Lonchura striata: one gene and its partners. The protein of the gene in region 4 purifies or fractionates together with the protein of the main gene of each other region. This does not show direct contact. Links are inferred from orthologs where the notes say so. Each region holds a gene or a part of one and is shown on either strand. Other genes may lie near its edges.

Region 1 (7,598 bases), on a different chromosome or scaffold from region 4:
GGCCGTGGGGGTTTGTTTTCTGGGGGCTCCTTCCAGAGGTTTGTCTCCCAAATTTGCCCTAAACTAGGACACTGAGGTAAACGGGAAACCGATACTGGGGATAACTTCTCCTCAGTACTCCAGAGACTGAGAGGAGCAGAGATGCACAGACACCAGCTGGAGCCCCACAGAGGCTCTTGGAGCCAGTACAGAAGCTGCTGGTTCTACTCAGAACTCCAGACTGGCACTTCAGAGAGCAGCACCTCACAAAAGCCCACGTAAAGGAGAGAAAAATTACATACCTGCTTCAGCAAATTTGCTTTCATCAAAGACCCTGTTCTTCACATCTTTAGAAAAATGGAAGGTATGAATTTTCACCCCATCAATTTTGGGAAACAACAGAGCAAACCCAGCTTCGCCCTCTTCAATTTCTTGAGGCTGATTGCTACTTGAACCCATCGGGGTAACTACGGAGACAAAACCAAGGATCTGGTGTTCAGAGATTCTAATACAAGCATTTACACTAACACAGGCAGAAAGAGGTAGCTCAGGTGACATAAAACATGACAATCTAATTCCGTAACAACTTATCTAATTGAAAACTAACTTTTTTTTGTTAATGTTTTGGAAAGATGAAATGCTGGCTATGGATCATACTGAAGTCCGTTTTGACATGGAGACATGGATATATCTCCCCAGTCACACCAAATATAAAACATGAGGCAAACAAGAACAGTGCAATACAAGCCTTCCTGCCAACTTCTGCAAGCACACAGACATACTCAAGTTTTTAAGATGTCCTATAAGCATGTGATGACAGTATAAAGCAAAACTGACACAAAAATTGAGAGCGCATTATTAAAATATGGCAATGACAACAATCAAAATACCTTACTTATAATGTGGGAAGCAAATTTAAGGTGAGAAACCATAAAAAAACAAGTTTCTAATGATAAAAGTGGAGAATGAGAAAAAGCATGCCACAGGAGGCTGTGAACTTTCCAGTTACTGCATATGCCTCCTGCTAGACCATTTCCAACAGGTATATACTAGGATGCCCTCTACAGTTGGTCACAATATGACTGAAAATTATATATAAATCCAAGCAACATTCAGTAAGTACATTAAGGTGCCAGGGAAAGCTGCCTGCCTAACTGAATCAACCCTTTTAATTTTAACTGTAATACATGAAGTAAACACTACATCACTTAGTAGTGACACTGTGAACTCCTTAAAATTGAAACCAGTGCTGAACAGTGCTGAGATGACACCTTCAAGTTGACCTCTCAAAAACCCACACATTTTGCTCCTACCTACAATCCCTGGGGTGACCAGTCCAAGAACCTGACATCGCTTTGGCAACAACTTTTCAAGTGCGAGTGCTGTTTCTTTACTGTTCCTTTTTCTGGCTGTTAAAACAAGAAGAAACCAATACAACCATCAGACAGCAGTAAAAGTGTGCTCTGAGGCAATCCCACAGCCGATCCCATCCTGTTTAACCAATGCTGCCCATCCGTGGCTGCCCTGGTAACAGCACGCTGGTCTGTGCTGCTCCCTGAGAGCTGCCGGCAGGCAAACACGCAGCGTAAATGCAACACTACGCAGTCACGGATTCTGCAAAACATTTCCCTTCCACTGAAACCCAAACACAGAAAATTCCCTTTCAGCTGACTATGCTCTACTCACATCCAGTATGTCTTTAAGTGGGAGTGAGTTGGGTCCAGGCTTTACCTTTCTTTTGTTCGTGACACTCCTCGTGCCCGCTGAATGTCTCTGCATCAGCGATGTAGAGCACGGTCTGGGGCAGCACGTGCACCTTCTGCAAAGACACAGGTGGAGGAGTACATAGACAGGACTATAGTAAAAAAGGCAACCCCAACTAGGAAGAAACGATGATGTCTGGCTCCAGATCAGAAGGCTGAAGGACAGCTTTATAAAGTTACACTAGATTACACTAATATACTATTTAAAGAGCAACTATACTATTCTACATACGTACTTCTTACCTATCAACTAATTACCAACTAACAAACTTGTGACTGCCTGCTGAGAGTCCGAGCCACAGCTCAGTCCAGGTGGACACTGAACCCAAACAACCTTCACCAGAATCCAATCCAGCGATAAATTCAGGTAAACAATCTCCATACCAGATTCCACATGGGAAAAACAAAGGAGCAGAGATAAAGATTGTTTTCTCTTCTCTCTGAACTTCTCCTGAGAGACAGAATTACGTCTCTCTGTCCAGAGAATGTGAATGCCACAACAGGACAGAGTGGAGAGAAAGTGGGGGCAGAAACCGAGGATAAACAGCTCCTGCTCCACCGCCAGCCCATACTGGTCCCCTCCCCCTTACCAGACTCCTGCCAGCCAACAGATAACCTCTCATTAGCTTCAAAAGTGCCCAGAGGCATTTCTGCCCACAGGCAGGAAGCTGACCCAAACCTCACAGAAGGAAGAACAGCTCAGCAGACTGGCCCATGACTCTGTTTCCTCTTTTAGCACTATCTAAACTCATTGCATTCATGGTTGTTGGCCTCTACTGTCACCAGTGCTGATGCTGGTAAACAGCGTAGAGGTGCTTCCGGCCCATCTTGTCCCAGTTGATTTAACGCTGATCCGCTGAGGCTGTTTGCTGCTGAAGACCCGACACGAATCGTTGTGCGGTGAGGACCAGCAGCAGGCTGAACGGAGCGCTGCGGGCGGCGCAGTCCCGCGGCGTCGCTGTCCCAGCCCGCGCGTTCCGCCGCGCCCGGGGCGAGCCCGCGCGCCTCACCTCGAGCTCGCGCGCCAGCGCGCGCACCAGCGCGTGGTTCTCGGCGGGGCCCGGCTCCAGCGCCGACACCCACGCGATTCGCTGCCGCGTCCGAAGCGTCCGCCGGGCGCACTCCCTCCACAGCCGGCACACGCTGCAACACAACACCGACGCACCGCGTCAGCCGCGCCGCCCCCACCGACCGGAGCCGGCCGCCGCCCACCCCACTGTCCCGGCCCTTACCAGGCGGCGCGCAGCAGCGCCTTGGTGGGCAGGAAGCCGAGGACACGCTCCACCACCTCGGCGAGGTTGGCGAGGACGTAGCCGCCCTTCGCCGCGGAGTCCATGGCCCCGCCGCCTCCCCGGCCCCGCTGCCCCGCGTCACCGCGCCTACGGCAACTTCCGGTCAGCGCGAGCGGGGAGCCAGTGCACTGGCGCCGCCTGGCGGCGGGGAGGACCCGTCCCGCTCTCACCTCCCCCCTTCCCTCGCGCCCCGGGCCCCAGCACGGACACAGCGCTTCGTAAAATGCTTTTTATTCATAAACTTGATGCAAGTTTACAAATTACTGTACATTGCCGAGGAACTCTGCCAGAAGAAACGGAACCCCAACCGAAGCATGCGCCGCAGGGCGCAGGCCGGGGCCGCCCCAGCCCCGGCGCACCGGAACAACGCGCCCTGGGAGCGGCGCTAAACCTCGCCCAGCTCGCTTCTTTCGAGCTAAAAACTGGATCTACAAGCAAATGCACAAGGACCCGCGGGCGCCTGATAGAGAAAAGAGCATAAGTTCGATAGTCAACTAAAAAAAAAAACCAACATAAAAACATGCTTTTGCACTTCTGAAATGCTTAATCCATGGAACACACCCTTTGCTCGGCCCCGAGGAGTGCACACGCCTAAGGAATAGGAAGTACTACAACCAAAATAAGTCGATTCCGGTAAGGCAATGAAATTGTGTAAGTACACAGACCCAGACTCATCTCCTAATAAAGAAAGAACAGTTCCCATTAGTCTTTCAATAACAAAGCCACCGTCATGACTATGGCAGCATTTCTTACACCTCTAACTGGATGACATGTTTTCGTACTTTACTGTCGTTTTTATATAAAAAATTTTCATTCAAGGACTTTCATCTCATTTTGTGCCAATCACTTTATAAGTTCATTAGTTTAGAAATGATTGCAACAACCCGTTAATAAAATGGAACACCTAAAAAGGTTTTTAGTATTTTAAATAACTTCAAGCTTCATACTGTGGCTCTTGTTAAGGAGCTTGAGCCAACAAGTAGCAGGAACAGTCCAGCAAGTTCTGATGCCCCAGTGGACATGACTAGTTACAAGGTTTTATTGGCACAGCCTTGCTCTGCATAAAACCAAAAAACCAAAACAAAATTTAAAAAAACAAACAAAAAATTTAAAATAATCTAAACAAAGAGCATATTTTCCAATAAAAAGTTCATATTCTCATACAGCCATGAAAAATGTTTAATGACTTAACATACATGTGTTTTTCCTATATCATTAATTCGGAAAATACTACAAACGCTGTCATTTTAGACCAGAAAAACTACTGTGATTTGCAAGACCTGACATTTCCTAAAACAGTATTAAACAATGTATTAAACTTCTTGGCTTTAAATGAAACAATACAATGCAAGTCTCTGCAGTCTGCCTTTTGCAGAAAGTAAGAAATACACAGAAGTGTGTGAACAACTCACTCCTATTGTATGATCTTTAGTAAGTCAATAGCCTGCTGCAGGGAGAGTTTATGCTTTCAAATAAAAAAAGGGAGAAGGGAGGGTGTGGCCCAAATCTGCTTACTCCATAAGAACAAATATGGTAAAGGCCCAAACTGCTCAGTCCAGATGCCTAAGAGCGGAATGGTAAGGCTGTAACTTATACTGTACGTGTCAGTTGACAGAATATCCACTAACTTATCTAATAGCTAAAGTCCTCAGTACAGCTGTTATAGGGGCACTCATAGCTTGAGTCTGTGTGTTGGGAAACATAAAAAAGAGCTTGTTTTGTTGACATTGGTCCAGGTATACAACAGTCCTCAGCCTTAGCCATCTTCTTTTGGAGGAGTGTACCAGCCTGTGGAGAACAGAGAGATGTTAGGTACCAAAGCTGCTGTGTCCAGACCATCCTACTCTTCACCTGTGGGAGATGGAAGCCTAACCTGGCTCAGTCCTTCCCTCTTAAAGCAGGCCAGCTCAGCAAGACCCAGTGCCCTAAATGCGAGTAAGTCAGCAGTGCAAGACAAACTATGTGGCACATACCAGGATGTGACCTGGTATTTGGGTGTGCACACACAGATTTCTACAGCAGCAGCTATCCTGAGCTGGACAAGCGGAACACTAACAAGGGGAAGCTGCTGAAGGAGGAACATTGCTCTAACCAAACTTAACAGAAGAGAGGTAAAACCCACAAGTCTTCAAGCTACTTAAAACAGACATATAAACGTGACTGCACTGGGACACTTATTTTGAGTTCTGTAGAGTTAGGCATGCAGAAGCAACTGAATGGCTTATCCTACTTCTGCAAGTCTTACCATAGGAATAAGCTCAGAAATGTCAGATGGATAACTGGTCTCCTGGCCTAATTTGGCATGTTTAGCAGCTGAATCACACCTGATCAGGTGTGCACTGCTTTTTCTAGAGACCTCCAGAGCTCCAATCTTAATTCTCCCAGCCCCTCTTGTAACATTTCCTTTAAACGTGTACAGTAACTACAAGGCCTGTTTGTGCTGTCCCAGAGAGCAAATAGCACCTCTAAGCTTAAGACACCTTTCACAGCAGCACTGAGTACTGTGAAGGCTTTGTGTACAGATCCTGAGGCAGGACTGATCACTTGCAGCACATACAAGTAAACAGCCACGCTGGCTTTTGTAGCAGACGAAAAGGCAAAAGGCTCAGTTAACGGCAAGATCAAAATACTGTAAAATTTGAGATGATGTTAAATCATTATCTTTGATCTTCCTCCCAAGAGTACAAGGAACAAGTTATGTTCCATGTGAGCAGCAGGGAAGCTGAGGTGCTCACAAACACATTTACAATGACCTCAGTTCCTGGAGGACACTGTGTCCAACCCAGAGCCCTGAACAGCATGGAAGTGTAACTGCGCTGGCTCTATCATCAAAAGACCAGAGTATCAATTCTGCTGACTACCTTTATGTAACATGTAAGCTACTTAAACCTTTTATAGCCTCAAGCTTCTCATACTGCCACAGTAAATTCAATTGTACCTGAAGCATTTGTACACTTGTTTTATGCAGCAGAGATTTTAAAAAGCCCATACCAAAACACGCTTTTCCCTATTCTATTGTACACTTTCCCAGCTTGTACACCTCACTTGGACTTTTTGTATGTTTTAGTCTCGGGTCTTTTTTCCCTATTTTTTTTTTCTTTCATTAATGTTATTTCCACTAGGTTCTTGACACATTGAAACAAAATCTTTCAGGGAAAGGGATAAACTCCCAGCAGATACTTCACCAATATTAAAGAGTCCTTAATACTTAATGCTACAGTAACAATAAAGTCCCTAGATCAACTAGCTGAAAACAATACGCAGCTGCCTTTCAAGAAGCAGCAGGAACACACACAACATTCAAGTAAACTGGAAAAGTTGCAGTGATTGCAGTGAAGTTATTTAAGCACTACTGCTTTTCTAGTGCAAGAAGAAGGAAGAAACATTAATGGTCTTCCCAAGCCAAAATAAGACACTTTGTCACTTCAAGTTTCTCTGTGGCAAACACCAATTCCCAAGGTGCTGTGCAGACAAGAACAAAGTGGCAAGAATATACATACCATTTTTCTCATGTATTTGTACTAGTGACTTATAGGACTGCTGTGCTCTTGCTAGATTATATTGATTCTGAAAGGAGAAAAAACTAACATAAAAACCTGCATCTAGACATGAAGACTCAAAAACAGTTCTAACAAGGAAATTCTACAGTGGGCTTAAAAATAAACTCCATACACAATGTTATAACATTCCTGGCTTTCAGGATTCCCTTCTCAGAGCTGGAAATTCCAAATCTTCCCAATTCTAATCCTCCTTGCCTCCCCCTCCCTTGCCGATACAAGGACAGTAAAAGCCTACCCTGCCCATCCCAAGACTATCTAACTCATCTGCTTGTAATTACATAAAAAATGTTTAATTGCCAATAAAATACACATACAGGCACCCGCCAAGTTGAAATGCATATATATTTGCCATAACAATTTTGTCATTAAGCATCCTCAATGTGGGTCAGCAAGGAAATGGAATCCCAACAGGGATTTGTGTAACTAAGAAACACAGTACATTTACCTTATTGGCTCCAAACTGTACTCTGGCTTTTCCTTTGACTAAAGTGGCATTGATCTGCATGATGACTGATTCTATTGAGTAGGCACTGCTCCAGCCCTGGAGGAGGAAAAGAATGCCAACATACAACATATACTTGCTTCTTGTGCTCACCTTGCAAACCTGTTTTGGAACATGTGCTTTAGGATTTTTTTTCCTGCATTCAAGTTTTAACTACTTATTTTCAGTTAACATTTCTTTTCCACAGAAAATCTGTAAAATTATATACAGTCCTAGTACTAATAACTCGTAAGAAGAATGAAAAGGCTGAAGCACATTTCCAAAATATAGAAAGACAGAAACAAAAAAGCTCCATCCTTACAGCATTAACACTTTTTCATCAATGTCACAACAGAAATTACAACCCCTTTTTCCAAGAAGTAGGAAAGACTGATCTCTAATGAAGTCAATTCAGTAAGCTGTAGGAATTCTGCTCATCTCTGGTATTGCTTTACCTTCCACAGCTCACAAGAGTTTCTGCCAGAGCCTGCAAGTAAGTTACTTCATTCATTTACTTACTTTA
Region 2 (8,032 bases), on a different chromosome or scaffold from region 4:
AGCCAGACCATCCCCAAGCTGGAAAGGCACAGCCAGACCATCCCCGCGCTCCCACTCCAAACCTGTCACTCCTGGCAGATGTGCAGACTGCTGCATGCATTGCATTTCCTGAGATTAAGGACGGGATGAGGAGCACATCCCAACACCTCTGCAGAAGGTGCCCGACGCAGTGGCTGCAATCCCCAAATCACAGGTCACCCACGTTCAGCAGTGGGAATGAACCAACCCCACCTTCATTCCAAGCCCAGGCAGGGCAGCAGCACGTGTACTGCAGGTGAGCTCCCCTCAGGGCTGCACCAGCAGCCAAACTCTGGGAAAAACGGAGTCCCAGGGAATAAAGGCTGGAGGAAACTCCAATTGAAACTGAAAATCGTATATGCTGCGTGTTGATAAAATGATTAAATTGTCCAGAGCCTTTCTGAATCCAAGAGCTTCACCTGCCACCCTGGAAAAGCAACGCTGCCTGGGTGGAGTCACCTGTCAGGGAACACAGCAGGAAAAATACACACAAACATCCCTGCCACGCCAAAACAACCACGGGATGTGGCTCTGCCGCCGCCCGAGCACGGAGACACGAACTCCTGCAGAACAGCGTGGAGCCCAACACCAGGGAACAACACCTGTGCAAGGCAGGCACCACCCTGCCCTGCAAAAAGTGTCCACATCACCCCACGCTCAGAATGTACAGCCAGACCATTCCCGAGCTGGGAATGCACAGCCAGATCATCCCCAAACTGGGAATGTACAGCCAGACCATTCCCGAGCTGGGAATGCACAGCCAGGCCATCCCTGAGCTGGGAATGCACAGCCACACCATTCCTGAACTGGGAATGCACAGCCAGACCATTCCTGAACTGGGAATGCACAGCCACACCATTCCTGAACTGGGAACGTACAGCCAGACCATTCCTGAGCTGGGAATGCACAGGCTTGGAGGGACCTGGGATAGGGGAAAGTGCCCCTGCCCATGGCAGGGATGGTCTGCAAAGCCCTTCCAACCCAAACCCTTCTCGATTCTATGAAACAGCTGCAATTCTGCCCAAGATTTTGCTCTTTTCTCTCCCATTTGTAACACCAAGGAAATACCAAGCCTAGGCGGACATAACCTGAGGGAAAAATCACGGTTTTCAGCCTTTCTTTGGCATCAGCATAAGGAAAAGGAAGGAGAGATGGTAGTGGGAACACCCAGGGCTGTGGGAATGAGGAAACCTCTCACTCTGGCACTCGTTCTCCAGAAAGGCCAAGCCTCGGCTGCGTGGCTATGTCGCGATATAAAGCACTTTGTCAGGACACCGCGGCACCGCCCCCGAGCCGCGGCTTCCCTGGGAGGCTCCGCTCCTGAAGGACAGGTGGGGAAAGGTCCCTTCCCATCCAGGGCGGGGGTTGAGGTCAGCAGCTCCTCCGCGGGAATTCACCGCAATTCCCGATCCTTCCAGCCACGGGGAAGAGTTCCAGCTGCTGACCCGAGCCGGCTCCCAGGGATGATTAAAGCCAGCCGAGCACAAACCACATTCCCGGCGATCCCGGGGTTATCTCCCATTCCCCGCTCCCCTTTTGTTCCTGCTCCGAGCATTCCCTGGAGTTCGGGTCATGAACAGCGAGCCACCCCAGCCCTGCTCCCGCTCCTCCTAAAAGATTCCCGGCCCCAGTGACGGGGAAAGGCGAGTGGAAAAGCCGAGAGGCTGGGAAGGATGAGATAATGCAGCTCCTGCAGCGCTGCTCAGCCCAGCCCAGCCCCGCCGTGACAAGCACACCGCCCCAAATCAATCCCGAACCGCGCTCCCAAAGCCCCGAGCGGACACCGGCAGCGGAGACAATGGGAGCGACACCCCAAATTCGCCGGGGGTGCCGGGCTGGGCAGCTCGATCCCGCTCCGAGAGCGGGGCACGGACACGCACCCGGCGGCTTCAAGCGGGGACCGAGCCTCACCTTTGTTTTCACACGAACACAACGCGAGCTGAGGTTTTGGGGGGGCACCCACAGCCATGTCTGATCCCCCCTCTAAAAAACATACTTGCCCCCAAAAAACCATATCCCCCCCCACACACAAGCTGTTTCCTCCCCGACGAGCCATGCTCTCCCCCTAAAAGCCAAATTTCTCCCCAAAAAAAGCCATTTCCCCCCACCACCGGCACTGCCAGCCTGCGCCTTGGCACTGCCCTATGCCAGCACTGAATTTTGGGATAACAGGGCTTTTAGGGGGAAAATTGAGCTTTATTTTTTTTCCTTTTTTTTTTTTTGGGGGGGGGGGGCGGATATGTTTTTTTGGGGGGAAGGATGGAGTCTGGGGGACAAACCTGGCTTTTAGAAGGGAAACATGGCATTTGAGGGAAAACATGGCTTTTAGGGAGGAAAATAGAGGTCTTAGGAGAAAAATGTGTTTCTTTTGGGGGAAACACGAGGTTTTCTGGGGAAGCACGGCTTTTAGGGAGAACATATGGCTTTTCTGGGGAAACATGAGGTTTTTGGGGAAATGTCCTTTTTGGGGGGAAACATATATTTTAGGGAGGAAGCACAGCATATCGTGGAAGAAACATTGCTTTCGGGATGGGGGAAAGCTTGGCTTTTTGGGAAGGAAACACGGCTTTCAGCGGGGAAATACGGCTTTTTTAGAGGGCAACCCGGTTTTTAGGGGGGCAGGCTTCGCTTTCTCCCCGCCCTGAGGGAGCCCCGGGGCTGCCAGAGCTGGGAAGGGGCTTCCCCTTCCCAGAAGGGGCTGCAGCCCCCCGTGGGCTCTGCCCTCCGCAGCCACCCCCAAAACGCTGTGAGGGACTGGCACAGGGGCTGGCACAGGGGCTCCCCTTACCCTCCACCCTCAAATGTGGTTCCCCTCCACACCAGGCCTGTCCCGCCCCGAGGGGCCCGTCCCGCCGCCCCGCTCCCCGGAAAAGGGCCTCGCCCGGGGAAGGCAAACCGCGGGGCCGCTCTCACCTGCCGCCGGGCCGGGCCGGGCCGGGCCCTCAGGGCTGCGGGCGGCGGGGCCGCTGCGTCGCCCCGGTGACGGCTCCGACCAGCGCCGCCATCTTCCCTCCCCGCCCTCCCGCCGCTGCCCCGGCCGCGCCGGCCGCGCACTGCGCAGGCGCGGGACCGCCCTCGACATCACGTGACATAGGGCGGGCGTGGAGTGTCCTTATGGTGCCGCCATGATGGGAAGGTCAAGTGTTCGCTTGGCGGCGCAGCGCGGGGAGCGCCGTGTTTGGCTGGTCCCGCCGCCATCTTGGGACGGTCCTAGTGCCGTGGTGGGCGAGGCGGGCGGGCGAGGCCGCCATGTTGGGGAGGGCGGCGCTGAGGCGGAGATGCCGGGGCGGCTCCCGCTCCTTGTCCCGTTCCTTGTCCCGTTCTCTCCCGCTCTCTCCCGGTGTCCCGCCCTCTTCCGCAGCCCCGGGAGGCGCGGCTGGGCCACGGGGACCCGCTCTGCCCGCAGGCAGCCCCGCCGTGTCCCTGCGTGCCCCTCAGAGGCGGGGAGCGCCTGAGGGCTCGGCAGGGAGGCGGGATGTGGCCGTGCCCTCAGGGCTGCCCCTCTCCCCACGGCGGTGAGGAAGGGAGGGAGCGGAGCCCATTCCATGGGGGAGCAGCCCTGCGCGGGGCTGTGTCTTGGCATCGCGTCCCGCCGGTGGGACATTATTCTCCAGGGAAAAGGTGATCGCTGCCACCCTGCGTGTCCCACAGAGCCGCATCCCGCATGGAGGAGCCCGCGCGGCATCCCGGCCCCAGGGCGGCTCCAGGAGCCCGTGGGGAGCCGGGATCCACGGCGAGGAGCCCTGGGATGGCCCGGGGGATCTGTGCAGGGCTGGGATAGCCCGGGAGGAGCTGAGGGATGTCCCTGTGCAGGGCTGGGATAGCCCGGGAAGAACCTTGGGATGTCCCTGTGCAGGGCTGGGATAGCCCGGGAGGAACCTTGGGATGTCCCTGTGCAGGGCTGGGATAGCCCGGGAGGAACCTTGGGATGTTCCTGTGCAGGGCTGGGATAGCCCGGGAGGAGCCCTGGGATGTCCCGGGGGATCTGTGCAGGGCTGGGATAACCCGGGAGGAGCCAAGGAATGTCCCTGTGCAGGGCTGGGATAACCCAGGAGGAACCTTGGGATGTCCCTGTGCAGGGCTGGGATAACCCGGGAGGAGCTATGGGATGTGTCCCAGGTGTCCTGTGCAGGGCTGGAATAAACCAGGAGGAGCTATGGGATGTCCCGGGTGCTCTATGCCGGGATGGGATAACCCGAGAGGAGCCGTGGATATCCCTGGCAGGGTTGGGATAACCTGGGTGCAGCCCTGGGATGTCCCGGGGGATCTGTGCAGGGCTGGGATAACCCGGGAGGAGCCAAGGAATGTCCCAGATGTCCTGTGCAGGGCTGGGATAACACGGGAGGAGCTGTGGGATATCCCAGGTGTCCTGTGCACGGCTGGGATAACACGGGAGGATCTGTGGGTGTCCCTGTGCAGGGCTGGGATAACCTGGTCACACATGTGGGTTTTGTCTCCTGTGGGATTCCAGAGCTTCCCTCTGGCTGCCCTGGCACCCTGGCAGGGGTCAGGAACCCCCCTGGACAGAGCCCCCAGAGACACTGGCTGTGATCTCTGGCCATGGAAAAGAGTTTTCAACCTTACAGGATCAATTACCAGCTCTGAGTGTTTGATATCAGTAATAATTGTGGCACGGGTGCAAAAGTAAAATTTTAGATGAGGGGTCCAAAGGGGACAAGATGGAGGAAATTGGGTGTGCCTTGTCCTTTTTCTCCTTCTTCATGCCCTCCATGTTTCACTGTGGTGTTGGCATTTTTCTGTTGGTTTAGGCTGGGGACACACTGTTCAAGATAAATTATAAATATTGGCCCATTATTGTAAATATGGCACACGTAGTTTCTAATATATAATGTTTGTGATGTCCCACTAAAAAAAGAGCCCCACACCTATGGCAGGGCAGCAGAACATGTTAGAGATAAGCAAGAATAAACAACCTTAACAACCAACACAGACAAATTATGGCTTCTTCTTTAGCAACGGGACAAAAAAACAGAGACTTCCTACAATCTCAGAATCACCAATACCACAAATTCCAACGGTCTCCTTCCAGGTGAGCCCCCTTTTTGTGTGCCACAGCCATCAGTGCCTCATTCCCAACAGATCCCGCTTGGTTTTTTTGGGCTGCTCGGGCTCAGGCATGGCTGGGAAGGGGATTTTTTACAGCAGGATGGAAGGAAACGTCCCAGGGAGCGCCGCTGGAACACTGGAAGGGATGAAGCCAACCGTGCCAGGCTCTGGCTGCTGGAAAACTCAGCTCCTGTTGCTTCTGGGAAAACGCCAGAGGATGAGCAGGAACAGCTCCAGCCTGCTGCAGCTTCTCCTGGTGGGGGGAAACGCCGAGTCCCGCCCCGCTGAGCTGCCAAAAATGCACAAATCCAAGGATTTAATGCCCATGGAGCACTGCACAACCCCCAGACCCCCTCCAACAGTTCCACCTTGGATAAACATCCCCCCAAAATCCACCTGCGGCCTGTCCGGAGGTTCCCTGCCCAAATTTTGGGCTTGGCAGAGGAACGGGAGACTCAGGGTCGGGGCAGACCGCAGGGATAAGGATTTGTTTTAGCTGGAGGATTATTGGGATATTTTTAGGAGTCAGTCGCCATCTGCCGGCAAACTCTGGCTCTTAGGTGGGAATTTGGGGAAAAATTCGGATTTTAAGGGTTCTCCCACTCCCTGTGTGAACCCTGTGGGGTTTTTAGGATGCTGAAGGGGCGCTTTTTGAGGGAGGAAAAGGAAAAGCAAATCCCACTCCAAAAAGCTTTGTGTGGCTCGGAGTGCAAAGGACAACATCGGAGTGGTGAATATCTTGGATATAAATGAGAAAGGTTTAAGAAATTATGGGGGCTTGGGGGATTTTGGATGTTTCTGAAGGCTGGAGCTGATCCTTGTGCTCCATAAGAGAAGATTTGGGCTTAAATAAAGAGGCACAAATTGGATGGAAGGACACACGGACACCTGGATGTCTGCAGGAGGGACCAGAGGCTGGATTAGTGGCTGAAATAGCCTAAATTTGAGGAGAGATTTGTCCAATAACCCAAAATTAGGATAAAACGGCTCAAAATTAAGAGAAAAAACCCTAAAACTAAGATAAGAGACCCAAAAATTTAAGAGAAAACAAAACTATAGGAAAACAAACAAACAAAAAAGGCCCCAAAATTAAGAGAAAGCACAACAAAATCAAGGAAAATCACTTTAAGGGAAAACTCCTCAAAATTGTGGGAAAACACACCAAAATTAAGGGAAAGGCCCTAAACTTAAGAGAAAGCACACCAAAATCAAGGGAAATCACCTAAAAATTAAGGGAAAACTCTTCAAAATTGTGGGAAAACTCACCAAAATTAAGGGAAAGGCCCCAAAATTAAGAGAAAGCACACCAAAATAAAGGAAAATAATTTTAAAATTAAGGGAAAACTCCTCAAAATTGTGGGAAAACACACCAAAATTAAGAGAAAGGCCCCAAAATTAAGAGAAAGCACACCAAAATCAAGGAAAATCACTTAAAAATTAAGGGAAAACTCCTCAAAATTGTGGGAAAACACACCAAAATTAAGGTAAAATATCTCATTAAGGGAAAACATCTCAAAACTTCCGGAAAACACAAAAATTGAAGGAAAACACAAAAATGGAAGGAAAACGCCTCAGACGCACGCGCCGAGCGCGGTCCTCCCGGCCGCCAGGGGGCGCTGTGGCGCCCCGCCCCGCCGCCGCTTCCCGCCCTTTCCGCGCGCCGCGCGTGCGTTGCCGGGCGCGGGCCGGCGGGCGGCGCGCGCATGCGCGGGGCGCGGGGCCCGGCGGCGGACGGGAATTAAAATGGAAGATGAGGAGGTCGCGGAGAGCTGGGAGGAGGCGGCCGACAGCGGGGTGAGGGCGGCGGCGCGGCGCGGCGCGGCGGGTCCGGGGCGCCGGGGGGAGGCGCGGGCGGGCGGCGCGGCGCGGCGCTGCTTGAGGGGGCGGCGGCGGGGCGCGTCCGGCGGCGCGGCGGCCGCACGGCGCTGCTAGGCCTCTTAAAGGGACCGCGGGCTCGCTCGGCGCGGGGGGCTGCGCGCCGCCCCCAGCCCCGCTGCTCGCCGGTGCTGCGGGGCCCTCCTCCGAGCAGCTCCCTGCCCGTCCTCCGCTGCTCGGTGCGCAAACCCCCCTGGGCTCGCACAGAGCTCCGCTGGCCGCGGGGTGAGGCAGGAGGGGCGAGCGGAGCCGGGATGTGCGACCCCGGCGTGGCGGCGCCCCCGGCGGGGCTGCGGGCGCACACCCAAGGCCTTTCCCCGGTCGGAACGTGTTCCGTCCCCGGGCACAGCGCCGGGAGTCCCGGCCCGGGGCTGGGGCTGGGCCCTGCTGCAGCAGCGGCTCCGGAGCTGGGCTGGCATCGCCGCTCGGGGACCCGAGTCTGTGAGCGCTGTGCTTGCACATACAGCCGCCCCTGCGAGGGGAAACTCCGCCGGGCAAACTCTGCTTTCAGCGCTTTCCCGAGGATCAGAGGGCACGCGGACCTCCGGAGCCTGGACGGGACACTGTGGGCGAGGGATTGGGTTACAGCTGGCCAGAGGCAGGGAGCAAAATCCAGCCTGTAACCGAACGCCCGAGAGGGGCCAGTGCCAGGCTGGCAGCGCAGCCCTCGCCCGCCCCTCCTGCCAAGGCCGGGGGATCGGAGTTAATTCCAGCGCTCCATGCACGGACACGGCTGCAGCCTCGGCAGCCCCATGACTGTGGCCTTGAGTAATGGTTTAAAATGGTCCTGATGCTCCAATCCTGCCATGGAGCGTCCTCTCAGTTTGTCCTTCCTGCTGGTACCTCCCAGGTGCTTTTCCTTAGAAGGAGAAATCCCTGTCACTTGTCCTTTCTCACCCCTTTTGCCAGTCCAGACTGTCGGGAATTCGTGCTCATGACCTCAGCGGCTTGTGCTGATGAGCAGGGAGATTCCCTGGGGAATCACACAATCCTCGAAGTTGGAAAAGCTCTCCAGGATCGCTGAGTCCTCCCTGGGCCCAATCCCCACCTTGTCCCCAGCCCAGAGCACTCA
Region 3 (7,223 bases), on a different chromosome or scaffold from region 4:
AGCACACCTTCCCAGCTCAGCCTTGCCCAGGTACTGGAATATCTTCAGCGCCAGCTCGTAAGGCAGCTGCACGTCGAAAAAAGGAACCTCATTGATTTCATTCTGGAAAGGAAAAAGGAGAAAAGAATTGGTGAGGCTGGTTTAACACACAGTTTGACAGCAGGAGAAGTTACCATGTATGGAGAAGGAATGGTGTGTCCTCAGGGCCACCACAGCTCCATGAAAACATCTGTTTTTCTGCCCCTCCCTTTTTTCATGGCCCTTTAAGGGGCAGAGAAAGGCAAGACACAAGTTCTAGTAAAAGTTTGGCTAAAGTGCCAAAAACGCCCAATAAATGATCACTTTGAAGACATATGCCCATTATTAATTTCACCTGCAAGATTTCAATCCCATATGATGGGAAAATGAACAAATATTTTAAATAAAACTGAATGGAGATGATGTTGGTTTCTTTCATTACTAATATAAAAATGTTTTTTTTAATATGAACTGTTCCTCCTTTAACTAATTGAACAACTCAAACAAAAATATGAAGCTAAATCCATCCATTTAAGCTAACAGCTAAATGCAATACACAGATTTTTTTTCCCAGATGTATTTTGTTTGGTTTAATTACATAACTATTACATCTTCTTTCTGCAGTTATCACAAGATTTATCTTTGCTCTTATCCTGTCTGGATATTCAAAATTTTTATATTCTCTAATAGAGAAAGAGCTAAATCAGCTGATTCTGACCATTTCTATGTTACAAGTTTTGCTCTCCAGTATTTCCTCTGGTTTCTGTTCCCCCTCCAGGTGTTCCTGATCATTGTCCATCAATCCTCACATACAAAATCAGCTGCTCAGTTAAAACCCATCTCCACTGTTTGCCTTCAGAAGCTCGGTATCATCTCTTGTCTCTTCCCTAACCCTGGTACCTTTGTTTCTTTGTTGGTCTTTCCTATAGCTTCTCATTCAAATCTGGACCATTTGCAGAACCAAAGTAGAATAGAGGGGCTATTCTGGGTTTATTTAAAGCAGTTACTCAGGGAAATCCCAATATAATGTGGTGGTGTGGTTTTTAAACCAAAGTATATTCTACACCAGGCAAGTGTTTAGACAACACAAACATGGGCAATGTTCCCCATCAGGTCTTTTAGCAACAAAATATCACTGCACACACACTGGAACCTTCCACTTGTTCTGAAGTTAGTTAAAGCAGGAGCTGCAGCCAGCCCTGCTGCTGCCTCCCTCCTCATCCCCAATTTCCCTGCACAAGCAGCTCCTTTTCCCTGCCCCGTGCCGGGGCCGCCGGCTCTGCTCCCCGCCGCGGATCCGCAGGATCTGTTTTGCTTTCGCGTGCTGTAAATCCCACCCGTCTCCAGCGGGGACACCCAAGGAAAACACAACGGGAACCTCTCGGCGGCCACATGCCGGCAGGCTCCGAGCTGGCCAGATGTGATCCCGCCCGGCTCCAGCAGCCGCGGAAGCGCTCCGGAGCCACGGGCTGCCCAAACAAATCACAGGAGCCACTGGGCAAGGATTGTTAGCTCCAGGCTTACGAGCTCAGGCACGGCAGCACCGCGGATGTGCTGCTTCCAAACTGGGCTTGACTCGTGTCCAAGCAGCAGATCCCGGGCTGGCTGGATGCCCACAGAGGGCTCACTGCAAGGACTGAGGGCTGCAGGCACAGCGGTGCCGACACAAGGCTCGACACCGACGGTGCTCTCGAGGAAAGGAGGGAAAAAGAGCAAAAAACAACTACATAGGCTTTCTATAAACCGAGCTGCAAGAAGATTTATACCCTGCTTCAAATAAACCCAGAAGTGCCTTTTTTTTCTGCTTTGGCGCTGCAAAGGGTGCAAGTTTAAATGAAGAGTAGCTGTAGAAGAAACCTACAAAGAAGCAAAGAAATGGGGGTTAGTAAAGTGCCAGCAGGGAGGGGATGATCCCGATTTGAGCACAAAGTCATACTGATTCCATTCCAATGCAATCCTAACATTAGGGGCAGAGCCGGGTCTTCCCACACCCCCAAAAGTTCCTGCAGCTTGTCCTCAGCACAAGGAAGCAAGGATGTTAAGTCAGCACCAGTCTGTCTAAAAGTCTACTGGAATGAGTCCAAAACTCATATACAACCAGCCCCTCTGAGACAGATTCGGGCTCCTGTGTGCTAATGGAGCACTAATTCTGTAAAATGGATTAATTTGTGCCTTGCAGACAGAAATTTAATCTGTTCCTTTTAATTTTTTTAAGCAAAGAGTAATTAGTCATAGTGAGGTTAGTGAGAAACAAGAAAATGGGTTTCCCCCCTAGTTTTCCTATACTGTAAATAACATCTCTATGGCATTTAGAGGATTTACCAAAATAACTTTTATGTGGTTCAGAACTGTATTTAAGACTATTTCCAAATTAACTCCTTTATTTAGAATTAAAGCTTGTTTTCTTACTACGCTGCTGTGTCATAAGGCAGGATATCCTTAATTACTGCACCCGCATCAAACTGCCTGGGTAAACAACAAAAATCTTAAGAGGAAAAAAAATATTATTTCATAGAGTCACAGCATATGTCGAGTTAGAAGGGACCCTCGAAGATCACCGAGCCCAACTCCCGACCCTGCACAGGACACCCCAACAATCCCACCCTGTGCCATTACACAGGACAAGCAGATTCGGAAGGGTTAAAAAAGTTAAAGGTTAAAAAGGACCTATATTCAGAAGCTGAGGTTATAATCAAGCACGCAGGAACACAAATCCAACTCCCCTTCGCTCGCCGCCCCTCAGCCGAGCCCCTCTCCGTGCCCCGGCACCGGCCCCGCGCCCGCCCTGCCCGCCGGGGCCCGGCCTGTCCCCGGCACGGCCCCGGGGCCGCCCCGGCCCGCGCAGCCCTACCAGGTCTCGGATCAGCTGTCCCAGCAGATCGTCCCCATCTCCGGCTCCGTCCCCCGCGGGCTCCGCGGCGGGCCGGGCGGGCGGCGGGCTGCGGCGGGCCGGGACGCCGCCGGCCAGCAGCCTGCGGGCCAGCGCCAGGTACTCGGGCTCGGCCGGGGCCTCCCGCGGGGCGTCCCCCGGCCTCTCCGCTGGCTCCTGAGGGGGCTCCTCCCGCCGCCGCCGCTTCGCGGCCCCGGCCCGCTCCTCCTGCCGCCGGGGCCGCTCCCGCTCCGCCGGCACCGCGGCCATGGCGGCGGGGCCGGCCCGGCGCGGCACGGAAACCGCGCCCCGCGCCCGCGCGTTCCGCCGCCACAAGGTTCCGCCGCCGCCGGGAGCGCGGCCGGTGCCCGGGAACGAGCCGGTGCTGGGGCCGGGGCCGTCGTTTTGTGATCTCCACAACGAGGGCGGCGATGGCGGCCTCAGGGCCCGGCCTGGCTCTGGAGAGCGGCGGGGGCCGAGCGAGGCTGCGGCGATGGCGGGGTCGGTCTGGGCTCCGGGCCCCGCTGGGAGCCCTCAGCCCCCTCACAGCCATGGCCGGGGATGGGGCAGGGTTTCACTGGGAGCCCTCAGCCCCCTCACAGCCATGGCCGGGGATGGGGCAGGGTTTCACTGGGAGCCCTCAGCCCCCTCACAGCCATGGCCGGGGATGGGGCAGGGTCCCGCTGGGAGCCCTCAGCCCCCTCACAGCCATGGCCAGGACAGGGCAGGGTCCCTCTGGGAGCCCTCAGCCCCCTCACAGCCATGGCCGGGGATGGGGCAGGGTCCCTCTGGGAGCCCTCAGCCCCCTCACAGCCATGGCCAGGACAGGGCAGGGTCCCTCTGGGAGCCCTCAGCCCCCTCACAGCCATGGCCGGGGATGGGGCAGGGTCTCACTGGGAGCCCTCAGCCCCCTCACAGCCATGGCCAGGACAGGGCAGGGTCGCGTTGGGCATCCAGAGCCCCGCTGGGATCCCTCATCTCCCTCACAGCCATGGCCAGGACAGGGCAGGGTCTCACTGGGAGCCCTCAGCCCCTTCACAGCCATGGCCAGGACAGGGCAGGGTCTCACTGGGAGCCCTCAGCCCCTTCACAGCCATGGCCAGGACAGGGCAGGGTCTCACTGGGAGCCCTCAGCCCCCTCAGCCATGGCTGGGACAGGGCAGGGTCTCACTGGGAGCCCTCAGCCCCCTCACAGCCATGGCCAGGACAGGGCAGGGTCTCACTGGGAGTCCTCACAGCCATGGCCAGGACAGGGCTGGGTTCCACTGGGCACCCAGAGCCCCACTGGGAACCCTCAGCCATGGCCGGCCCCACTGGGAGCCCTCATCCCTCTCACAGCCATGGCTGGTCTCATGGGAGGGTTGTTGCCCGTGGAAGTGGCTGCTCTGAGTGATCAATGTACCTCTCAGAGGCCATTTTCCCCTTTCTCTTGGGCACGTCTGAAGCTGAGCAGGTGGGCAGGGCTGGCACCCCCGGGCAGGTTTCCCCCACCGCTGCTGTGCCCACCACACCTGCTGGGATGGTGTTCTGCTGCTTGAATCACACCCACCTCCTGCAGCCACCACAGCCCGAGAGCTGCCACTTTGATGGCGTTTTGGGGAGGACACGAAGTTGGCTCAGCTCCTCTCCACAATCAATGCACCTTGGTGCTCTAAGGCTGTGTTCAAATGATGCTGAACCGCAGCTGCAAACTTCTGCCACTTCAGCCAGTCCAGCTGCCCAGGAAGCAAAGAGGCCATGAGTACTCAAGTCACCAGAATGATTCCTGAGGAGCCCGCAATGAAGTAGAGCAGCTAAGTGATGTGTTGGTGTAAGTCAAACAGCTGATCCTTCTAGAACTGACTGTAAAACACAGCCCATGCTGTCAGCAGCAGCTTGTGCAATTACCCCCACCCTGGTGTCCACCTCTGCCTTCCTCACTGGCCACTTGATGCTTCCTCTTCTCTACAGCTGGTTGCTGTTTATAAAACCCAACTTAATGAACATGAACAGTGGTCCAAGAAGAACCCAAACTACCTCATTTAGGGGAGGAGCTCCTGTACGTATAAATCCTGCAAAAAGGACAGGTGGGTGAAGGCTGGCCTTGCCTTGGCCTCTGTGCTGGACCCCAAACCCCTCCTGCCCTGGGCTGAGCCCCCAGTGTGGGCAGCAGGAAAGGAGGGGGAGATTCTGCCCCTCTGCCCTGCTCAGGTGAGACCCCACCTGCAGAGCTGCCCCTGGCTGGGGGGTCCCCAACATCAGCAGAACCTGGAGCTGCTGGAGTGAGACCAGAGGAGGAGATGCTGCAAGGGCTGGAGCCCCTCTGCTCTGGAGCCAGGCTGGGAGAGCTGGGGGTGCTCACCTGGAGAGGAGAAGCTCCAGGGAGAGCTCAGAGCCCTTCCAGGGCCTGAAGGGGCTCCAGGAGAGCTGGAGAGGGACTGGGGACAAGGGATGGAGGGACAGGACACAGGGAATGGCTTCCCAGTGCCAGAGGCAGGGCTGGATGGGATATTGGGAATTGGGAATTGTTCCCTGTGAGGGTGGGCAGGCCCTGGCACAGAGTGCCCAGAGCAGCTGTGGCTGCCCCTGGATCCCTGGCAGTGCCCAGGGCCAGGCTGGATGGGGCTTGGAGCAGCCTGGGACAGTGAAAGGTGTTCCTGCCATGGGAGGGGTGGGATGGCATGAAGTTCAATATCCTGTCCAGCCCAAACCAGTCTGTGATTCTGTGACTTGTTTTCCCTACAAAACAATCACTTGCAGGGACCTAGAGGAGGTGTCTCCCTGGGGTGCACGTGCTGGTGAGCCCCGCCAGTGCTGGGATTGCAGACCAGGATCTGCCCCTGCAGCAGGGTGTGGGGCTGCTCCAGGGAGGGTGGATGGGCTGGGATGATCTGCCAGGAGGTTCGCAGCAGCTTCTCTGCAAAGCCGGGGGGAAACAGGGCCAGTTTGGGGTGATTCCTGACCCACGGGGAGCCCCCCGTGTCCATCCCAGGGCTGGTGGGTGCAGGGAGCCCTGCCCGGGGGTGCCAGCCCTGCTCCCATGCCCTGGCAGCCGGGGAGGCCCGCGGGTCAGTGCCGGGGGCTGCGCGCTCCTGCCTCGGCCACCCGAAATGTGATCCGAATCCGTAATGCTGTGGGTGATGAAATCGGCTCCAGCTCTGTGTAATCCCCTCACTGCCCCCCTGCATCTCCTCGCTGTCCCCTCCTCCAGCCCACAGTCATCTGCAGCCTCGCACTGTCCCTCTATCCCCACGCCATCCCCTCTGTCCCCTCTATCCCCACATTGTCCCCCATCCTGTCCTCTCTATCCCCAGTGTCTCCTCTATCCCCACAGTTCCCACACTGTCCCTCCACACTGTCCTCCGTCCTCTATCCCACACTGTCCCACCTTCCTCACACTTCCCCTCTATCCCCAAACTGTCCCTCTGTCCCCACGCTGTCCCCTCTATTCCACACTGTCCTCTCTATCCCCAAATTGTCCCTCCATCCCCACAATGACCCACTCTGTCCAACCTTCCCCACTGTCCTCTCTGTCCCACACTGTTCCTCCATCCTCATGCTGTCCTCGCATTCCTATGCTGTCCCATCGAACTCCCACCCTGCATACCAGACTCTTCCACCACACAAGCACTGTTCTCTCCACTCCCAGTCCCACACTGTCATTCCATCCCGTGTCCCTGCATCCCCGTGCTGTACCCTCCGTCCCAACACTGTCCGTCCGTCCATCCATCCATCCATCCATCCATCCATCCATCCATCCATCCATCCACCCATCCATTCCCATATTGTCCCACCGAACTCCCACCCATCCCTGGATACCAGAATGTCCCACCACACCAGCACTGTTCCCCCCAGTCCCCCCCATGTCCTTCTATCCCCACACCATCACCTGCATCCCTGTTGCTGTCCCTCCATCCCCACTCTCCCTCCCATCCCTCCGCCGGACCCCAGACCGTCCCACCGCCCCACCGCTGTCCCCCTGCCGCCCACCCCCGCGCCGTCTCCTCGCTCCCCCCTCTCCGCCCGCGGCCGAGCACCGCCCCGCGGGGGATGATGTAACCCCCCGTCCCCCCCGTGTCCCGCCCGCGTCCCGCCCGCCGCACACTCGGCGGGCTCGGCGGCGAGCGGACGCAGCCATGTGCCCGTGCGCGCTGCGCGGCCCCCCCGCGCCCTGCAGCCCCTGCGGCCCCGGCCGCGCCGCCCGGCCCGAGGCCGCCGCCCGCCGGGTCGCCGCCCGCCTGCGCCGCCTGGGCGATGAGCTGGAGCAGCGGCGCAAGGCGCGGGGCCGCGGCCCCTCGGCCGCCCGCCGCCTGGCCGCCGTGGCGGGGCTGCTCTGCGCGCTCACGCCCGCGGCCGC
Region 4 (7,078 bases):
ATCCCTCTGTCCTGACCGTGTTCCTCTGTATCAGCTGCAGCTGATTGTTAGGTGTGGTGTGGGACCCACTGTGTCATTTGCTGAGCCCGCAGGCACAGACCCAATTGCTTGTTTGTTCATGTGTGGGGAAAGGCTCTGCAGGAGTTTGGGCAGAGTCAGTATGTATCGTATCGTGGGTTTTGCAAGCACCCACTTTCCTGCAGGCTGCCACAATGGTTGCATGTTATTTTAGTTATCAAGCAGTTCAAGGTAAAATGCCAAGAGAAAGGAAGAGCAACAATCAGTCACCATCCCATTAAATGCTACAACCTGCACCTCTCTCAGAACCTTACCTGTTCCTTTTAGCCAGTTCGGAGGCTCCCATTCTCTCGTGAGGTTTTAATAATGGCTTATAAAGACAGGGGTACTATATGGGCTTTAATGTGACCATCATCTGGAAAACATACACAGAGGTAGGGTGTTTGGGTTTCCACAGAAAGCAAACACAGTGTGGTCCAAAAATCTATGGGATATATTCCTTAACGTACCCCTCTGGCTCTGTCCTCTGAATTCAATTTCCCTATGCCAAGCACACTGAATCAACTGGAGATGCTACAGAGCCTTATACAAAGCTTTGCTGGGAGGTTGTTTGCCTACTTCTTGAACTTTGAGATTGTGGCAACACAGAATAACCATAGATGCAATATTGCCCCAACAGTAATTTATGAATGCTGTCTGTGGGCTTGTGCATCCAAAAGCAAAGGGTGCTAGAAATCCCAACTTGGACAACTCAAATAATTTTACTAGCATCAGCAACTGGAAGGCAGCCAACCAGTCAGCCCTACAGTTCTTTAAAAAGTAATAAAGTGCACCTGATTTATTTCTGCTTGATGCTGCTTAGGACACCATTGAAACCATACCTTAAGCAGGTAGCACTGAGATGGTGAAGCAGAGAATGGCAAGAGAAAACTTGAGGTTTGTAAGCACTTAGAAAAGGGCCATCTCCCTCTTTGCTCCTGGCAGTCTTGGAAGGCCCATACTTAACTCTCAAGACACTCACTCTGAAGAGTGTTTGAAAGTTCTGCAATTCTCTTTCAGACCAGCTCTTTTCCTAACTAACCCAAGTGCCCCAGAAAGATCCTGTCACACTGGAGGACCAGTCATGATAACTGCTCATCTTTTCTGCGGCTGGAAAACAGAATGCAAACAGCTCAGGCAGTGAGGACTAAGCAGATCCACCTTTTCTGTCTGCATTTTCCTTCTAGCTCAGTTCTGGGGGATCCTCCCGCTGCCATGTGGATCCCTCTTGCCCCGGAGGGTCAAGTTGTGTCAGTATGGCCACCACCAAGCCTTCTGCACCACCTTGTGCAGGTGCAGAGCCAGGGCTGCAAGCAGCCACCGCTCCAGGAGCAGTTCCACAGCAGTCCAGTCAGGAACACGCATTCAGAGTGCATGTATGGAGGAGGGAAGCATTTGAGGGATAAATCCCACATAGGATAATGTTTGTGACTGTAGAAAAATAAACAACAAACCACCAAAAGAATGAATATAAAGGAGAAGGGCAGTGACCAAAATACAAGACATTGGTTTTGAAAGGTTGGTGGTACATTGCCTTTAGGAACAGTCTTTGACAACTGGGAGAGAGTTTGTGTCATTTTAATTGGGACTAACCATATTCACAGCAGTTGTCACATGTCACCTAGTCTGTCTCGCTGCCTTTTCAATTTGGCAGCCTTCTCTTTTTCCTCCTGCATGTCCCAGAGGTTTGAGAAATGATCCATTCTTCAAAGCATCCCTGGTAATTTGGACCACAGTGTTATACTTCTTTTGAAACTGATGCCTTTCAAAGCTGCAGCCTTTCTTCCTGCAGCAGCTCCTGACAACCCTCTATAATATATAGCCTTAAGAGGGGAAAACAGGTCTGAGGAGATACACTTTTACTAGAAGGGAAGACATTAGAGACAACACTAAAATGAAAACAGATTATTTCAAGCAAAGAAGGTAGCTTAGCCATTTTTATGAAGTGCAGGACTATACTGTCACTAATTTCACTTTGAAAAATGTACTGGAGATCTCTCAATGCACTTATTGGTAAAATGCATCTGCATACACAGATCAGTAATTATGAACTAACTAAACATGGAGATGCAATATGTGTTCTGTCCTGCACCATGTTTGCTGTCTTTCTTGTTTTCCTAACACTCCTACCTTTTTAGCAAGACTTAACTCGAGATCTGTGTTGTTACGTTGTTTTTTCTGCCAGATAAGGAAAGATAAATCCAGAGCACGTGACTGCTGGCTGTATGGCTTTACCCCATTGGCAACCACCTCCCCCTGGTGATATCAGCTGAAGTGGTGAGACTACAGTTTTATACTACATTAGTCACTTCAAGTGAAAATGAATGTTAACATCTCTCTGGTATGTATATGCCCTAGTCTACGTGTTTGATCAATGTCCTGGTTTCTTGAGAAATGTCTTGCTGGAGACGTTGCCATACACATTTAGAAATTAAGGTTAGTATTGGTGCTTCTATTAATAAGAAATCTTGCAAATTCTGATTTGAAAATAGCTATTTTCTAGAAGGTGAAAAGTATACTTTCTGAAGAACCCAACTCCCCTTTTCAAAATACTCCTTTGCAATAATCCTGAATATGGAGCAACAGGACAGAAATCTGAATTTGTGCAGCTGCAATTTATAGTGATAGAGATGCCCCATAACCAAGCAGTATCTGGGGAAAGGGGCAGTTCAGTGAAATGGAAGCTTACCATGTAGGTAATGAGAGGCATTAAAGGGTGTTTACATGAGGGAGGGCATTTTTCTTCTTCAAACTTACCTTTATTGCCTATGCAACTTTCAGGCTCAGCCTGATGCTGCAAATATTTAGGTATGTGCATAAGTCAAGGCACAAGTGGTACATGTCTTTTAAATATTAATCCAAATCCAAACATTAAAATAATTCAAACACATCCAATGCCAGCATCATCTCGTTCTTACTGTAGGTCCCTACTTTAAGTTTAAGTCTATTTGGAGACTGTCAGACACTCCACCCCAGCAAGGACTGGGTTTCAGGAAAAAGCTGTATGCACACAGCAAGACGGGTAGAATGGAGGCAAACCAGAACGGTGCTGTTGGGCCCAAGTATTTATGAGAAGTAGAGTACAGATATTGCTTGCCTGTATCTATGCAAGAGAATGGCCTTTTAGTGCTTCTACAAACTCCTCTTTCCAACATCCATGGACCAGCAGTGTACAAATAGATTTAGAAGGGGTGGCTCTGCAGAGAGATCGCGTCTACAGGGACCTGCAAAGCTGGGTGAAATTTCAAGATCTATAGTTGTCCTGCTGGGGAGTGTATTGCCCTCAGTTTCCATATCATGGAGAATACTACCACTGACCTTGTCGGGAAGGTACAGACAGAGGAAGCTCCAAGAATCGGCCACCGTGCCTGTCATCTCCTCTCCATCCTTGCAAAAGAACAGGCAAGGCCTGGGCAACTCTGGCAGCACCTTTAAATCCATATTGATTGTAACTATTGTAAACTCAAATCGCACGCTGTAAGGTGCGCGTCCTGTCTTCAGCAATTCCATGTTCCTTTTTAAAAAACTGGACTTGCGGGAGAATAAAGGGCTACAGCGGCAACACCGCCGACCCCACTTCGTCCTGCCTCGATTACGATGGGCGAAAACAAGTTAGAAGTCTACTGAGGGCTGAAGCCCCTCATGTGAAGAGGGCGGGGGGGCAAATCCCAAGAGACTGTAGGGGGACGCTGCACCGAGAGCCCGAGGGCTGCGGGCAGAGGGATGAGGTAACTTTGGCGCGGCCCCGCCCTTCCCACCGCCCTCAGGAGCGCGCTCACGTGATCGCGCCCACGTGATCGCGCCCTCGGCCCCCGCACCTGCCGGCGCGGTGAGGGGCGGTGGGGGGCGTGGCCATGCGGTGACCCCTCCCAGCGCCCCCGCTCCTCCGGCCCCCCGGCCCCGCCACGCCCCGCCGCGCCGCGCACGCGCGCAGAGCGGGACGGGCCGATTCACGCTCCCAAAATGGCGGCCGCAATGGATGTGGACACTCCCAGCGGAACCAACAGCGGCGCCGGCAAGAAGCGCTTCGAAGTGAAGAAAGTGAGGCCCCGCCGGCGCGCTCCTCTGGCTGCTCCCGGAGGAACGGGGGTGGGGCTGGGGCCGGCTTGATGCCAGAGAGCGGGACGGAGAAGGGAGCGAATTCCCGCTCCCTTTACGGAGCCGGGCGCCTGGTTCCGCACCGGAGCGGTGGGAGGGGCGGCGCGAGGCCTGCGGGGAGTCCTGGCGTGCGTCCTAGCCAATGGCTGAGGCGGGCCGCCGCACGTGCAGCGGGAGCTGGCCAATCAGCGGGCGCCGCTGGTGGGGGCGGGAGCAGGGGCGCCGACGGGCCGGGGGCGGCCCTGTCCGGGGCTCTGCCGCTCGCCTCCTCTGACGCTGCCGCCCCGACAGGACAGGCCTCGGCTACTCCTTACCCAGAGCTCGGGCGGGCGAGCAGCGCTGGAGTGCTTCCAGCTCCCCATCACCCCCGGCCGCTGTGGCGTGGCCCAGCCGCCCGGGCTGCCCCATATGCTGCGTAAAAAGCTTTCTGCAAATGTCTGTGGCTGACTTTTTCCTCCTTCTTACATAAATCGAGCCATAACAACGTATTAGTGAGCAAATGTTCTCATGCCACCCTGGCTTTGCTTCCTCGCTCAGAGCAGTCATAATATTGCTCTCCTATCCAGTGCCACCAGTTTGTCAGCTGGGTCATGGTGATGGTCTGAGGCTATTCACGTGGGTGTAGAGAAGCAGGATTAGATTGTGTGGGCTTGTACTAAGGTACAATTTGAGGAAAAGTGTCTCCTAGACTGAATATCAGTAAACATTTCCAGTGATTCCTGCTTGTAGATATATTTGTTTAAAATGCAGCTGCCATCAGTGATGATGGAAACCCCTGGATATGTGCAGAAGGAAGTGTTTGGGTGACATAATTGCTTGTCCTTTGGAAATAGGGACAAATATAATCAGAGTGGTAGGAAGTAGCAGCATTTATATGTCAGTGTCATTCCTGCTCCCCAGCAAGGTATCAAGACCTTTGTTGCATGTGTGGCTCAGTACAGGTGTGTGGGCCATCAGAGTAGACCATAATGGGACAAGAGATTAAGTATTGGAGTGTATGGAAGAGATAAGGGTGCTGAGAACTTTTATCTTAGCTGCTTGAAGTATGGATGAAGTCCATGAGGACTGAATACTTCAGCCAGAAGGCCAGCTAGTCTTGAAGTTAGAAGACTGGGAAGAAACATGTGATCACTACTGGTGCATGTCCTAAAAGATCTAGTAGTATTGTGACTACTTTTTATATCTGTACTAATGAAAAGTTGAAGAGCTTACCCAAGTGTGAAACTGCCTATCAATACTTGGAACTCAGTGTTCCTTCTTTAATGTCCCAAACTGAGGGAAAGCAATGAAAACATTGAGATGGAAATGGAACACAGTAGAGAAGATAGTACAGTCAGTGCAAATATATACTGAAAAAATGTAAGGGGGACAAAAATCTATACTACGTAAGTCGTAAATGAAGATTATCCTGATACCAGTACAATATTTTGGATTGTTTTGGATATTGAAGGCAGGCCCATTTATTTAATGAGTTTACAGAAGACCTGATTATGAGTTTTGTCTGGAGGCATAAAAAGGTTTTTCTGCATAGCTTGTCCTAAAATTCTCAAACCCCCTGAAGTAGCATGTGACAGTGCTATTACTTTTTTGTATGTATAAAGTAAGTCTTCGAAAGATTGATTTGATAGTACTTTGAAATTTTTATATCCAGCCTTGCCGATAGGTTGTTGCTTATTAACCTTTTGTAGGGAACATTATTCAGGAGTCAGTGGAGAGTAGCATTAGAGATTTAGTTCTTGACCCCAACTGCTCAGAAGGATGATTACTAGAAGAACTGCCACAAATAATAGGAATTCCTCTTAACAAAAATTACATCTGAATTGGTCTTTCTCCAAGGGGCTGTCCTTTCTTTCAGAATCTAGGGTTTGACATGAACTACTTCCTTGGATTCCATTGGATCTTGAATAGAAATCCAGATGTTTGCATTTGTTTCACAGAAAAAAAAAAGTGGAAGGGGGACTGTGGGAGTTACCTTCTTTTTCAGGTGGGAAGGAGACGTATCTGGGAGGTTTGTGAGAGGAATGTACCACTGCTTCCTAGTAACCTAAACTCTTGATGAGGAATTGTTCTGGACTTCTAAGATTTGTTTTTTCCTTAATATCCTAGCTTTTCTATTTCAAAAAGTACCTGGTATCTTGAAGAATAGCAAGGATTGCTGTCCAGCGTAAATTGAATCACAACTGTTTTTCTTTTTCCCCCCTCTCTCCAGTGGAACGCCGTAGCTCTGTGGGCATGGGACATTGTGGTTGATAACTGTGCCATTTGCAGAAACCACATTATGGATCTGTGTAAGTACATGGGGAGGGTCACATTTGGACTTGTATGTGCTGAATAGCTGAAATTACCCCAGCTGAGGATATAACTCAGCACAGTTTTCAGTTAGTAACTAATTCTTCTGCTAATCTCTATTTTATGTAATGCTGAAGTCTCATAATCTATTTTTGTGACCTCTGTCACCATACTGTTTCTTCCTCACCCTTTTCTCATAAAGGGTAGGATCACTTGATGCCATATCAACAGACATGATGCTGTTGAATGTATTTTGAACACAGCAAAGGAAAAAAGGAGTAATAATAAAGAGGAACTGAAATTATTCAGGGTTGACAGGCATTGCTTACAAAGAAAGATCTTATGAGCTGGGGAGGTTGCTATGAGTGTCAGCTTCTTGATGATACTCATTAAGATGAAGTCTTGTAACACTCTCTGTCTATCCTGGGCAAGGAAAAGCATGGACCAGCAAATTAATTTGACTCCTCGTTCTATGAAACATACCTTATCTAACTAACTTAGCACATGTTATAGTAAGGGGAATTTTGTAGCCACCTAGAAAATTATCCGCTCATTTACAAAGGAGAGTAATAAAGTGCTAAAAAAAACCCCAATACATTATTAGTATTGGTTTAATTTGAATTTTTTTTTTCTG

What was found.
Region 1: the proteins of RBX1 (region 4) and FBXO22 purify together in Homo sapiens (affinity purification with mass spectrometry; 4 studies listed by BioGRID). This does not show direct contact. The link is inferred for Lonchura striata from reciprocal best matches to the Homo sapiens genes RBX1 and FBXO22.
Region 2: the proteins of RBX1 (region 4) and FBXO42 purify together in Homo sapiens (affinity purification with mass spectrometry; 4 studies listed by BioGRID and IntAct, with this or other methods). This does not show direct contact. The link is inferred for Lonchura striata from reciprocal best matches to the Homo sapiens genes RBX1 and FBXO42.
Region 3: the proteins of RBX1 (region 4) and FBXW8 purify together in Homo sapiens (affinity purification with western blotting; 6 studies listed by BioGRID and IntAct, with this or other methods). This does not show direct contact. The link is inferred for Lonchura striata from reciprocal best matches to the Homo sapiens genes RBX1 and FBXW8.

Annotation. Positions count from the first base shown.
Region 1 is NC_134613.1:4,671,268-4,678,865, reverse strand, and holds the start of FBXO22 (F-box only protein 22), read right to left. Parts: upstream 3,133-7,598; 5' UTR 3,079-3,132; coding exon 2,975-3,078; intron 2,886-2,974; coding exon 2,753-2,885; intron 1,799-2,752; coding exon 1,711-1,798; intron 1,389-1,710; coding exon 1,293-1,388; intron 447-1,292; coding exon 282-446; intron 1-281. Other genes in the region: UBE2Q2 (ubiquitin-conjugating enzyme E2 Q2), read right to left, coding at 4,791-4,822, 6,535-6,601, 7,040-7,135. UniProt on the Homo sapiens protein: Substrate-recognition component of the SCF (SKP1-CUL1-F-box protein)-type E3 ubiquitin ligase complex that is implicated in the control of various cellular processes such as cell cycle control, transcriptional regulation, DNA damage repair, and apoptosis.
Region 2 is NC_134626.1:6,609,894-6,617,925, forward strand, and holds the start of FBXO42 (F-box only protein 42), read right to left. Parts: upstream 3,017-8,032; 5' UTR 2,932-3,016; intron 1-2,931. Other genes in the region: SZRD1 (SUZ RNA-binding domain-containing), read left to right, coding at 6,829-6,879. UniProt on the Homo sapiens protein: Substrate-recognition component of some SCF (SKP1-CUL1-F-box protein)-type E3 ubiquitin ligase complex. Specifically recognizes p53/TP53, promoting its ubiquitination and degradation.
Region 3 is NC_134620.1:3,365,993-3,373,215, forward strand, and holds the start of FBXW8 (F-box/WD repeat-containing protein 8), read right to left. Parts: upstream 3,161-7,223; 5' UTR 3,158-3,160; coding exon 2,870-3,157; intron 103-2,869; coding exon 1-102. UniProt on the Homo sapiens protein: Substrate-recognition component of the Cul7-RING(FBXW8) ubiquitin ligase complex, which mediates the ubiquitination and subsequent proteasomal degradation of target proteins.
Region 4 is NC_134607.1:24,897,014-24,904,091, forward strand, and holds the start of RBX1 (E3 ubiquitin-protein ligase RBX1), read left to right. Parts: upstream 1-3,964; 5' UTR 3,965-4,020; coding exon 4,021-4,098; intron 4,099-6,364; coding exon 6,365-6,443; intron 6,444-7,078. UniProt on the Homo sapiens protein: E3 ubiquitin ligase component of multiple cullin-RING-based E3 ubiquitin-protein ligase (CRLs) complexes which mediate the ubiquitination and subsequent proteasomal degradation of target proteins, including proteins involved in cell cycle progression, signal transduction, transcription and transcription-coupled nucleotide excision repair.